2 linked regions of the Arabidopsis thaliana genome follow. The protein of the gene in region 1 interacts with the protein of each later gene in a pairwise test. Each region holds a gene or a part of one and is shown in the gene's direction. Other genes may lie near its edges. The genes, in order: CBSX3 and RLK4.

Region 1 (4,281 bases):
AGTCGGTGAATATAGTTGGGCCCAAATCATCGGATGTGGATCTTGTTTTGATTTCAACGCTTTCGTTTTTTTTTGTTTCTGTTTTCCTTGATTGAGGAAGCAATCTATGCAAAAAGGTCCAAAACACTTTAGCATTGAGGAAGAAGAAGAAGAAAGCTTCATATTTCCAGGTAATAAGTCCTTTGACTTTCGTCATTCACAATTGCTCATCTCTATAGTTTCTATGAATGAATTGTTTGCTTACTTATACACCATCAAGCAGGGGATACAGTTGAAGCGGCATGGCAAGAGTCTTCGAATCGGATTCGGGTTCTGGTTGTTCCAATGTACTGAGTCTTGACTTAATCAGAGAATCGTTGATTAGGCAAGAAGACACCATCGTCTTCAGCTTGATCGAGAGAGCTAAGTTTCCACTCAATTCTCCTGCTTTCGAGGAATCTCGTTGTCTAGATTCTGGAAGTTTCTCTTCTCTCACTGAGTTTTTCGTCAGAGAGACAGAAATCATCCAAGCTAAGGTTTGCTTCCCATTTTAAAAACTGATCCTTTTGCTAAAATTAGATACAGAGATATCAATGCTTCGTTTGATTCGGTTTTGGTATAGCATTGTTTTAGATTGTTCCATGAAATTAGCAGAAAGTAAGCTACAAGTCAACTTGATTGAGGTTTTAATAAGCCTGGATTCTTGAATTAGCATGCCTTTTGTTTGCTATGTGTCTCCTCCATTGCAAAAGATGATAACTTGGCTTTGCCTGTATAATCTCATTGTGTGATAACTTCTTGTTTTGATTTGAGTGCGAATCTGCCAATAAAAGGCTCCGACTTTATCATATGTATACGAGATTTCCTTATGAAAACCTCATTATATGTGGAGATTGGAAATGGAGGACTATTGTTTTCTATTTTTATAATGTCTGAAAGTCTTATTTCATTAATATATTCATCTCATTGGTTTATATATATTCTTAAGTTTCTGGATATTGAGCCTATATGTTTGTTCATTGGTTTACTTGAAAACCTTATGTGTATGTGTATATTATATAGGTAGGAAGATATGAATACCCGGAAGAGAATCCTTTCTTCCTTGAGAACATTCCTCACTCGGTTTTTCCTACGCACAAATATCCATCGGTATGTATGTAGTAAAGTCTTGAGCATTTTTCTTAGAACTCTGAATGCTTTAGTCTAACAGTACTTTTCTTTCTCTTGATTAGGCTTTGCACCCTAAGGCTCTATCTGTTAACATTAACAAACAAATCTGGGATATTTACTTTAAAGAATTGCTTCCTTTGTTTGTCAAACCTGGCGATGATGGCAACTATCCATCAACTGCTGCTAGTGATCTCGCCTGTTTACAAGTAAGGAGATGATTGAGTATACATAACAAAATCAGCTCTACTTTTGGCTAATGATGTCTGATCTGATATGTTTGATCTTGTGTAAGGCTCTTTCGAGAAGGATTCACTACGGTAAATTTGTAGCTGAGGTCAAATTCAGAGATGCTCCACAAGATTACGAGCCTGCGATTCGCGCTCAGGTAAACTTAGTGTCACATTGTGGATTCTGTTTCACTGTGGTTTTAAAATGATATGATTCACACCATAATCGTTTGATTTTCGACTGTAGGATAGAGAGGCTTTGATGAAGCTGTTGACGTTTGAGAAAGTAGAAGAAATGGTTAAGAAGAGAGTGCAGAAGAAAGCAGAAACGTTTGGACAAGAAGTAAAATTCAACTCTGGCTATGGCGATGAGAGTAAGAAGAAGTATAAAGTGGATCCATTGCTTGCCTCTCGCATCTACGGGGAATGGCTTATCCCTCTCACTAAGCTCGTTGAGGTTGAGTATCTTCTACGTCGTCTCGATTGAATATTATTTGTATCCAAATCTGGCCCTGTTAAAGTGGGCCTTAAGTTTTTAAGTGGGCCTGTTGATATTTGTCAGGATATGATAGAATAATTGAATGAAGCAACACAGTCATCACTATTTTAAATTTTGTAAGATATTTTAAGGAAAAGAAAAAAGTCGCCAGTATTTCGCTATCGAAAATCGTTTATTTATATATTTGATGATTATCCATTAGAGAACCCTTCAAAAAACTCTCCACTCAACTCTCTCTGGTCAGCTGTCTCTTCCCCATTCTCTAGGGTTTTCAAGCTCAACCTCAAGCTCCACTACGATCTCTTCTTCTTCTCTAATCTCAGGTCTGAATCTCTCCTTCTTCACTATCTCTGATGCTTTTTACTGAATCTGATTGAGGAAACTTTCCATTTTAGGATTTGTTGATCAAATACACTCGGTTTAAGAATTAGGATCATTCTCTTTTCGATCTAGTTTCATTAGACTCGTTCTTTTAGCTCTTGATTTTATAGATCTCGTTTTGAGGAACTGATTATTTGGTTGTTGACAGTTGAAAGATGCAAGGTGTGATTCGATCCTTCGTCTCCGGTGGAAATGTTGTGAAAGGCTCTGTGCTGCAACATCTCCGTGTGATTAACCCGGCGATTCAGCCTTCTGTGTTTTGTTCACGCTCTGAATCAACTCAACCTGCACGTATGGAGGAATCTGGATTCGAGAGCACAACTATTTCCGATGTCATGAAATCCAAAGGCAAAAGTGCTGATGGATCTTGGCTTTGGTGTACTACTGATGACACTGTTTATGATGCTGTTAAATCCGTATGCTTATACTACTCTCTTTTTCCTTTTTTAGATATCTCGATGTGGATTTGGAATTGATTGTGTTTGATTTTGTTTAGATGACACAACACAATGTTGGTGCCTTGGTGGTTGTGAAACCTGGTGAGCAACAAGCTCTTGCTGGTATCATTACAGAGAGAGGTAAAATTAGATCTAATCATTAATAATTTTTTTGTTGTGTCTTGTGGTATGTGTGATTCACTTTTCGGCATTGTGATTTCTCTAGATTATCTACGGAAGATCATTGTGCAAGGGAGATCATCCAAATCAACAAAAGTTGGAGACATTATGACTGAAGAGGTATGTAAATGCACGATTGTACGATTTTTTTTTTGCTTTTGTGGATTGAAACTGACTGGATCTGTGAACTGGCAATTGCAGAATAAGCTTATCACTGTGACACCGGAGACCAAGGTCTTGCGTGCTATGCAACTGATGACAGGTAAGCAGACAACTTGATATTTTTCCACTAAAGATACAAGCTTTTGGGTTTAAAACCTACTGAAGCAAATAAAAATGCGGGTTTGTGTTTTTGTAATGTACAGATAACCGAATCAGGCATATTCCGGTAATCAAAGACAAGGGCATGATTGGAATGGTGTCCATAGGAGATGTTGTCCGTGCAGTGGTTCATGAGCATAGAGAGGAGCTTCAACGCCTAAATGCGTATATTCAGGGAGGTTACTAGATCTTGAATAATGGAAAGAAAAGAGTTCCCTGTTGTGTCGTCTGGTCTTGTGCTGCTGAATCTGAAAAGCTTCCAGATCAGTGTAAATATGCAGTCCTCGTTGTTATTGTTGTTGTTGTTGTGTTTGATGTTTTGTGTTGTTTCGTTGTTTAACTTGTCAAAACTAAGGCCTTGTGCTGCTTCTCTTCTTGCGCTTACTTAGCAAGAGAATAAAACCAAAAACTCTGATCTCTTTATGAAAGATATGATGTTTGTTTTTGTTATCAAATCTTGCGTCAAGTATCCATGTGTGTTATGAAATAATAGAATTACTTTGAAAATTTGATTTCGGTACAAAGTTTCCGTGTCTTTGGACCATGAAAAATATCTTAACAAGTAAACCAATTCTTTGAATACAAACAAGTAAACCAAGGCAAAATATAAAACGATAGATTTTCTTCAAATCAAATCGATTATGGTGTGGTCACAATATCGTCTCTCAAGGGATCAAACTCCGGTGACCAAGCTTGCACCATGAGATAGCGATCAAACGCCCTCCATGGACCTCCTGTCAACGCTGCCATGTATTCCTCCTCCGCTTCGAACCGAATCATGAAAAACTTACGAGGGAGATCCACAACAGACATTGCTCCTCGTGGTTTCCACATCTCTCGAAGCTTTCTACTTAATGCTGATATTGTCATGTTACGCCCGGGCACTTTCACGATCAAGCTGTTCTTCAACAAACCATTCATCGCCGCCAATACCTCACTGCCAATTGTTATCACTGGTTCTCCATCCTCACCATCAGGGAACTCCAGTGTCATTTGCTCAGACACAAACTCATCATCTAAGATATCATTCGGATTTAGGATACCACCTAAATGTCCCCCCACCACTTTCTTCACCCACGAACCCGGT
Region 2 (5,781 bases), on another chromosome or scaffold:
CATTTTGCTTACTAACACTGTAATAATCACTTTTTTTTTATTGGGGTTTCTTAAGAGTACTTTTGATTAATCTTGTTGCATTCAAGTAATCGTTGTTCAGTTCACTCTTTTCCTGCAGTGGCAGTGCATCTGTAAAATGCTTCAAGGACTGTTGTTCGCTACTCTTGCTTAATTATTACTATAGCTGGTGAAAATGGGAGGTTGCTGTAGTTCTTCGAGGAAGTCACATCTTGTTGGAACACCTGTTTACTATTATGTCAGTAATCCTTTTCACCATCTTGCATTTGTGTTGCTTTGCACTACTGACTATCTATAGATTATGATTTTAGTTAAAACAAATCGGGACAAGAGCATGATTTTAGAATCTCAACAATTTCTTGTAACAATCTCGCTTGAGTGGTCGATAGTAGACTACTAGAGGTCGTGAGTGAGCTGTGTTTGAAAAATGTCTTCTGAATTATCTACAGTTATTTGATTGTGACACTCTACAAAGTTTCTATTTATTAAAAGTTTGTTACGCAGTGTCCAGAATCTTTTGAAGAGCTTGTCCCTTCAGGAACCCGTGCTGGTGTGGGATCAGCATTCACCACAGGCCTCTTGGTTGATATAGGTTTGGAGACATCTATACCTGACACCTTTTGTGCTCCTGCTCCTCTTCCATATGATTTGCTTTTGGGGCGACCACAATGCACAGATTCTGAGTCCATCAAAGGAAGGATGAGTGGAAGCAGTTTTGAAACGCTAGCGACGTGTGAAGATCTTGGGGAATCAGACTGTAAAACTCTAGCCAGCTCAGTCATTCTTTCACCGAGGAAATCAGATTTCTCGAAACATCAAGGATTGAAGATATTGGTTGATGAAGAGGAGGACTGTTGTCCTATTTGCTTTGAAGGTAAGAAATCAAGACCGTTGAATAAAAAGAACTCTTTAACTCTTGTTTTTATGAGAGAGCTAAACAGAGTCGTGGATTGCACTATGCAGATTATGATGTTGAGAATCCAAGACTAACGACAAAGTGTGAGCACGAATTTCACCTCTCTTGTCTTCTGGAGTGGATTGAAAGAAGCGATAGATGCCCAATATGTGATAAGGTGTGTTTCCCGCTTGAGCTTTCTTTGGCAGATCGATTGTCTTGATGATCAAAGAATTGCACTTTACTGTTGGGAATTCGTAGTTAGATCAACCATTGATGGTTGCGTAATTAGGGTAAATAAGTGCACAATTTGGCAACTAACTAACATTCTGTCTTCTTTAACACAGGAAGTTGTGTTTGATGATCGCTTGAACTAGCATCATTACTATCCCCTGGCTTGAAAGTTTGAAGGTGTGGCGCTTTGTTTGGTTAGTCTACTACATAATTAGCATACATCTATTTTGTTTCTTCCTCACACACTTTAAGTGTTGGGTCTCCACATTTCCACTTAGTTTTGTCGTATTGGTTATGTTCGTTTTGCCCTTGTGCGATCATATAGATATACATAACAATTGTAAATATTACCTAGCTTCTTGTTCGTTCGTTTGTGATCTCCGGGGTGTGATAGAGAAGAAAGGACCACCATTTCAGTATTTTGATTGTTTGCATCTTCAAAATCATGTCCACTCTTGTCTTGATCCATGATTCTATCTTAGCAATATTGGTTAATGCCCTGATCTGGGAATCATAATAAGCATGATTTTGTTTGTTTGTTTGGTTAAAGAAAGAGAGAGATTCTATTAGATATGGATATAGTATAATTCCATAGTCTAAAGAGAAACTGAATATTCCAAATAGTAAATTGATCCACATGCGACTAGTCTTGTCGTGTGTAAGATATTAAAAAGAAAATGATTCTTTGATTAACACCTTTTGTCTGCTGCATAAAGTAATTAATTAGAAATAATTAAGAAAAAGGTTAGGAATCATTTAAGAAGAAGAGAAAAAAGATGTCATGGCTTTGACTTCTAGCCACTTATGTCTGCCACTGCCACCTCCCTCTTCTCAATTCCTATTCTGCCCTTCTCTTTCTTTTAGTTCCTATCCTGCCGGTGTTGATGAATGAGGGTTAATATAGTAACTTTGGCGTTAGGAACTATAGTTCCAAAACCTTTTTCTGAATGAATTTACTTTTTGGAGGTATGAAGTCACAGCTTTTACAGATTTTATCTTGCAAAAATTCTCTCCACATTTCAAACGTCTAATAGTTAAAGAGAGCTTTTGTTTTTTCTTTCCCATGTCTATCAGTATCACCACCGAGAAAATATCATCAACACCACCAACCAAACATTAACCCACCCGAGAGTACCCAATGCCATGTACTACTTATCTTCCTCTTCTTCTTCTCCTCTTCCTTCTTCCACCACCATCTGTACAAAGCAAAGTTATCATCAAAGGAAACCAAACCATTCTGAGTTTCAAAGCTATTTTCCGGCTTGGTTTCTTCAGCACCACCAATGGTTCCTCCAATTGGTACTTGGGTATCTCTTACGCTTCTATGCCAACTCCCACCCACGTTTGGGTCGCCAATCGAATCCGACCCGTTTCGGATCCTGACTCTTCCACTCTCGAGCTCACCTCCACCGGATACCTAATCGTCAGTAACCTCCGTGACGGCGTCGTTTGGCAGACGGATAACAAACAACCCGGAACCGATTTCCGGTTCTCTGAAACCGGGAATCTGATTTTGATCAACGACGACGGTTCTCCGGTTTGGCAGAGCTTTGACAATCCGACTGACACGTGGCTTCCGGGGATGAATGTCACCGGTCTAACAGCTATGACTTCGTGGCGGAGTCTCTTCGATCCTTCGCCGGGGTTTTACTCTCTGAGACTGAGTCCAAGCTTCAACGAGTTCCAGCTTGTTTACAAAGGAACCACACCGTATTGGTCCACCGGAAATTGGACCGGAGAAGCCTTCGTCGGCGTTCCGGAAATGACCATTCCTTACATCTACAGGTTCCATTTCGTTAACCCTTACACTCCCACGGCGTCGTTTTGGTACATCGTCCCACCGTTGGACTCCGTTTCCGAGCCACGGCTGACGCGGTTCATGGTCGGCGCCAACGGCCAGCTGAAGCAGTACACTTGGGATCCACAGACGCAGAGCTGGAACATGTTCTGGTTGCAGCCGGAGGATCCTTGCCGCGTTTACAATCTCTGTGGTCAATTAGGGTTTTGTAGCAGCGAATTGCTCAAGCCCTGTGCTTGCATCCGCGGTTTCCGGCCTAGGAACGACGCCGCGTGGAGATCTGATGATTACAGCGACGGATGCCGCCGTGAAAACGGTGATTCCGGCGAAAAGAGTGATACTTTTGAAGCCGTTGGTGATCTACGCTACGATGGTGATGTGAAGATGTCACGGTTGCAGGTAAGCAAGAGCTCTTGCGCCAAAACTTGCTTAGGAAACTCTTCTTGTGTTGGTTTTTATCATAAGGAGAAGTCTAATCTCTGCAAAATTTTACTCGAGTCGCCGAATAATCTGAAGAATTCGAGCTCGTGGACTGGAGTTAGTGAAGATGTATTGTATATCAGAGAACCAAAGAAAGGGAATTCAAAGGGAAACATCTCTAAGTCTATAATTATATTGTGCAGCGTTGTTGGGTCAATCTCAGTTCTTGGGTTTACATTGTTAGTGCCATTGATTCTGTTGAAGAGGAGTCGAAAGAGGAAGAAGACTAGGAAACAAGACGAAGATGGGTTTGCTGTGTTGAATCTTAAGGTATTTTCTTTCAAGGAGCTTCAATCAGCTACCAATGGGTTCTCGGATAAGGTCGGACACGGCGGTTTTGGGGCGGTGTTTAAGGGAACATTACCGGGTTCTTCTACATTCGTGGCTGTGAAACGCTTAGAAAGACCTGGAAGCGGGGAGAGTGAGTTCCGGGCAGAGGTATGCACCATTGGGAACATTCAACATGTCAATCTCGTTAGGCTTAGAGGTTTCTGTTCAGAGAATCTTCATAGGCTTCTTGTCTATGATTACATGCCACAAGGATCCTTGAGTTCCTATCTGTCTAGAACAAGCCCCAAATTGCTAAGCTGGGAGACCCGTTTCAGGATCGCGTTAGGTACTGCCAAAGGGATCGCGTACTTGCATGAAGGATGCAGGGACTGTATTATACACTGTGATATCAAACCGGAGAACATTCTTTTGGACAGTGATTACAACGCCAAAGTGTCTGATTTTGGCTTGGCTAAGCTCCTTGGACGTGACTTCAGCAGAGTTCTAGCCACGATGAGAGGGACATGGGGCTACGTGGCTCCCGAATGGATATCTGGTTTGCCCATCACGACAAAAGCTGATGTGTATAGCTTTGGAATGACATTGCTCGAGCTGATCGGTGGTAGAAGAAATGTCATTGTTAATAGCGATACACTGGGAGAGAAAGAGACAGAACCAGAGAAATGGTATTTAGAGAATGTCTTTTACTTGGAATCAATTGTAAGAGAGAAAAAAACATATACATTGAATCAATGAATCCCTTTTCAGGTTCTTTCCGCCATGGGCAGCGCGTGAGATCATACAAGGCAATGTGGACTCTGTGGTTGACTCTAGACTCAACGGAGAATATAACACTGAAGAGGTGACGAGGATGGCAACGGTGGCGATATGGTGCATACAAGACAATGAAGAGATAAGGCCAGCAATGGGAACGGTAGTGAAGATGCTTGAAGGAGTTGTGGAGGTGACGGTTCCTCCACCGCCTAAATTAATACAAGCTCTTGTCTCCGGCGATTCATACCGAGGAGTGAGCGGCACAAGCTGTAGTGAAGGCCATGGCTGTTCGGATCTCAATACAGGTTTGTCTAGCCCTGGCTCACGGTCGTCTTTTGGTAGACCTTCTCCTTGATCAATTTTGTAAGGTGATTTGGTCAAAACCAGCCTTAAATGTTTTAAGTGTTGCTCTCTAAGAGGGTTTAATTAGTTTAAACTGTATTTGTTGGTTGTATGATATTTGACTTAATCGACATTAACAGTTAAAACCATGGATTATGTCTTTCTTCTTAGTTTGAAAGTTCTTGTCACTTTGATAATCTTCTAATGGCATATATGTAAATTCTTACAGAATGTATTGTATGAGAATCATTACGTGATTGAATCAATAAACCCATGTCGATACTTTAAACTATATGAACGGTCACAATAAACCCATGTTCTCTCTTCTTCTACTCCACGGCTAACCTTAATCTTAGGCAAACCAGAAACACAAATTACAAGAACAAACATAAAAAAGAATCTCTTGTCTTGTCTGCTTTCAATCCTCATGTCTCTAATCCTCCCCAAGTAGAGAAATATAAAAACTTAGACAAATATTGCCACAACCGGTGAAAATGGAGATCCCGGTTCGAGAGGAGAGAAGATCCTCCTCATCCTCTGCCGGACCATTACAACAAACCATCTCCTTAGCAGCTGACGACGCCATCGATAGCGGTCCATCCTCTCCGCTTGTCGTCAAAGTCTCTGTCTTCGAAACAGAGCATGAGACGACCAAGCTTATCCACGCGCCGTCAACTCTGCTCGGTGAAACCACCGGAGACGCTGATTTTCCTCCCATTCAAAGCTTTAGAGATGCTAAACTTGTTTGTGTGGTTGAAACGTCTAAGCTTTGGGAAATAGCTGCACCTATAGCTTTCAACATTCTTTGTAATTACGGTGTTAACTCCTTCACAAGCATCTTCGTTGGCCATATCGGCGATCTTGAGCTTTCTGCCGTCGCCATCGCTCTCTCCGTCGTCTCTAATTTCTCCTTTGGTTTCTTGGTGATTAAAATAACCTTCCTCTACTCTGCTTTTTTCCTCCTCTGTTT

Evidence for each region.
Region 2: the proteins of CBSX3 (region 1) and RLK4 interact in a protein complementation assay, tested with the Arabidopsis thaliana proteins (one large-scale study listed by BioGRID).

What each region holds. Positions count from the first base shown.
Region 1 is NC_003076.8:3,428,273-3,432,553, reverse strand, and holds CBSX3 (Cystathionine beta-synthase (CBS) family protein), read left to right. Parts: upstream 1-2,061; 5' UTR 2,062-2,198; intron 2,199-2,404; 5' UTR 2,405-2,411; coding exon 2,412-2,672; intron 2,673-2,752; coding exon 2,753-2,834; intron 2,835-2,919; coding exon 2,920-2,993; intron 2,994-3,074; coding exon 3,075-3,135; intron 3,136-3,238; coding exon 3,239-3,381; 3' UTR 3,382-3,712; downstream 3,713-4,281. Other genes in the region: CM2 (chorismate mutase 2), read left to right, coding at 282-515, 1,042-1,128, 1,212-1,355, 1,442-1,534, 1,624-1,863.
Region 2 is NC_003075.7:146,673-152,453, forward strand, and holds RLK4 (receptor-like protein kinase 4), read left to right. Parts: upstream 1-1,939; 5' UTR 1,940-2,285; coding exon 2,286-4,381; intron 4,382-4,463; coding exon 4,464-4,824; 3' UTR 4,825-5,060; downstream 5,061-5,781. Other genes in the region: RHB1A (RING-H2 finger B1A), read left to right, coding at 194-256, 523-892, 982-1,091, 1,261-1,290; AT4G00342 (uncharacterized protein), read right to left, coding at 5,061-5,240; AT4G00350 (MATE efflux family protein), read left to right, coding at 5,306-5,734. UniProt on the Arabidopsis thaliana protein: Serine/threonine-protein kinase.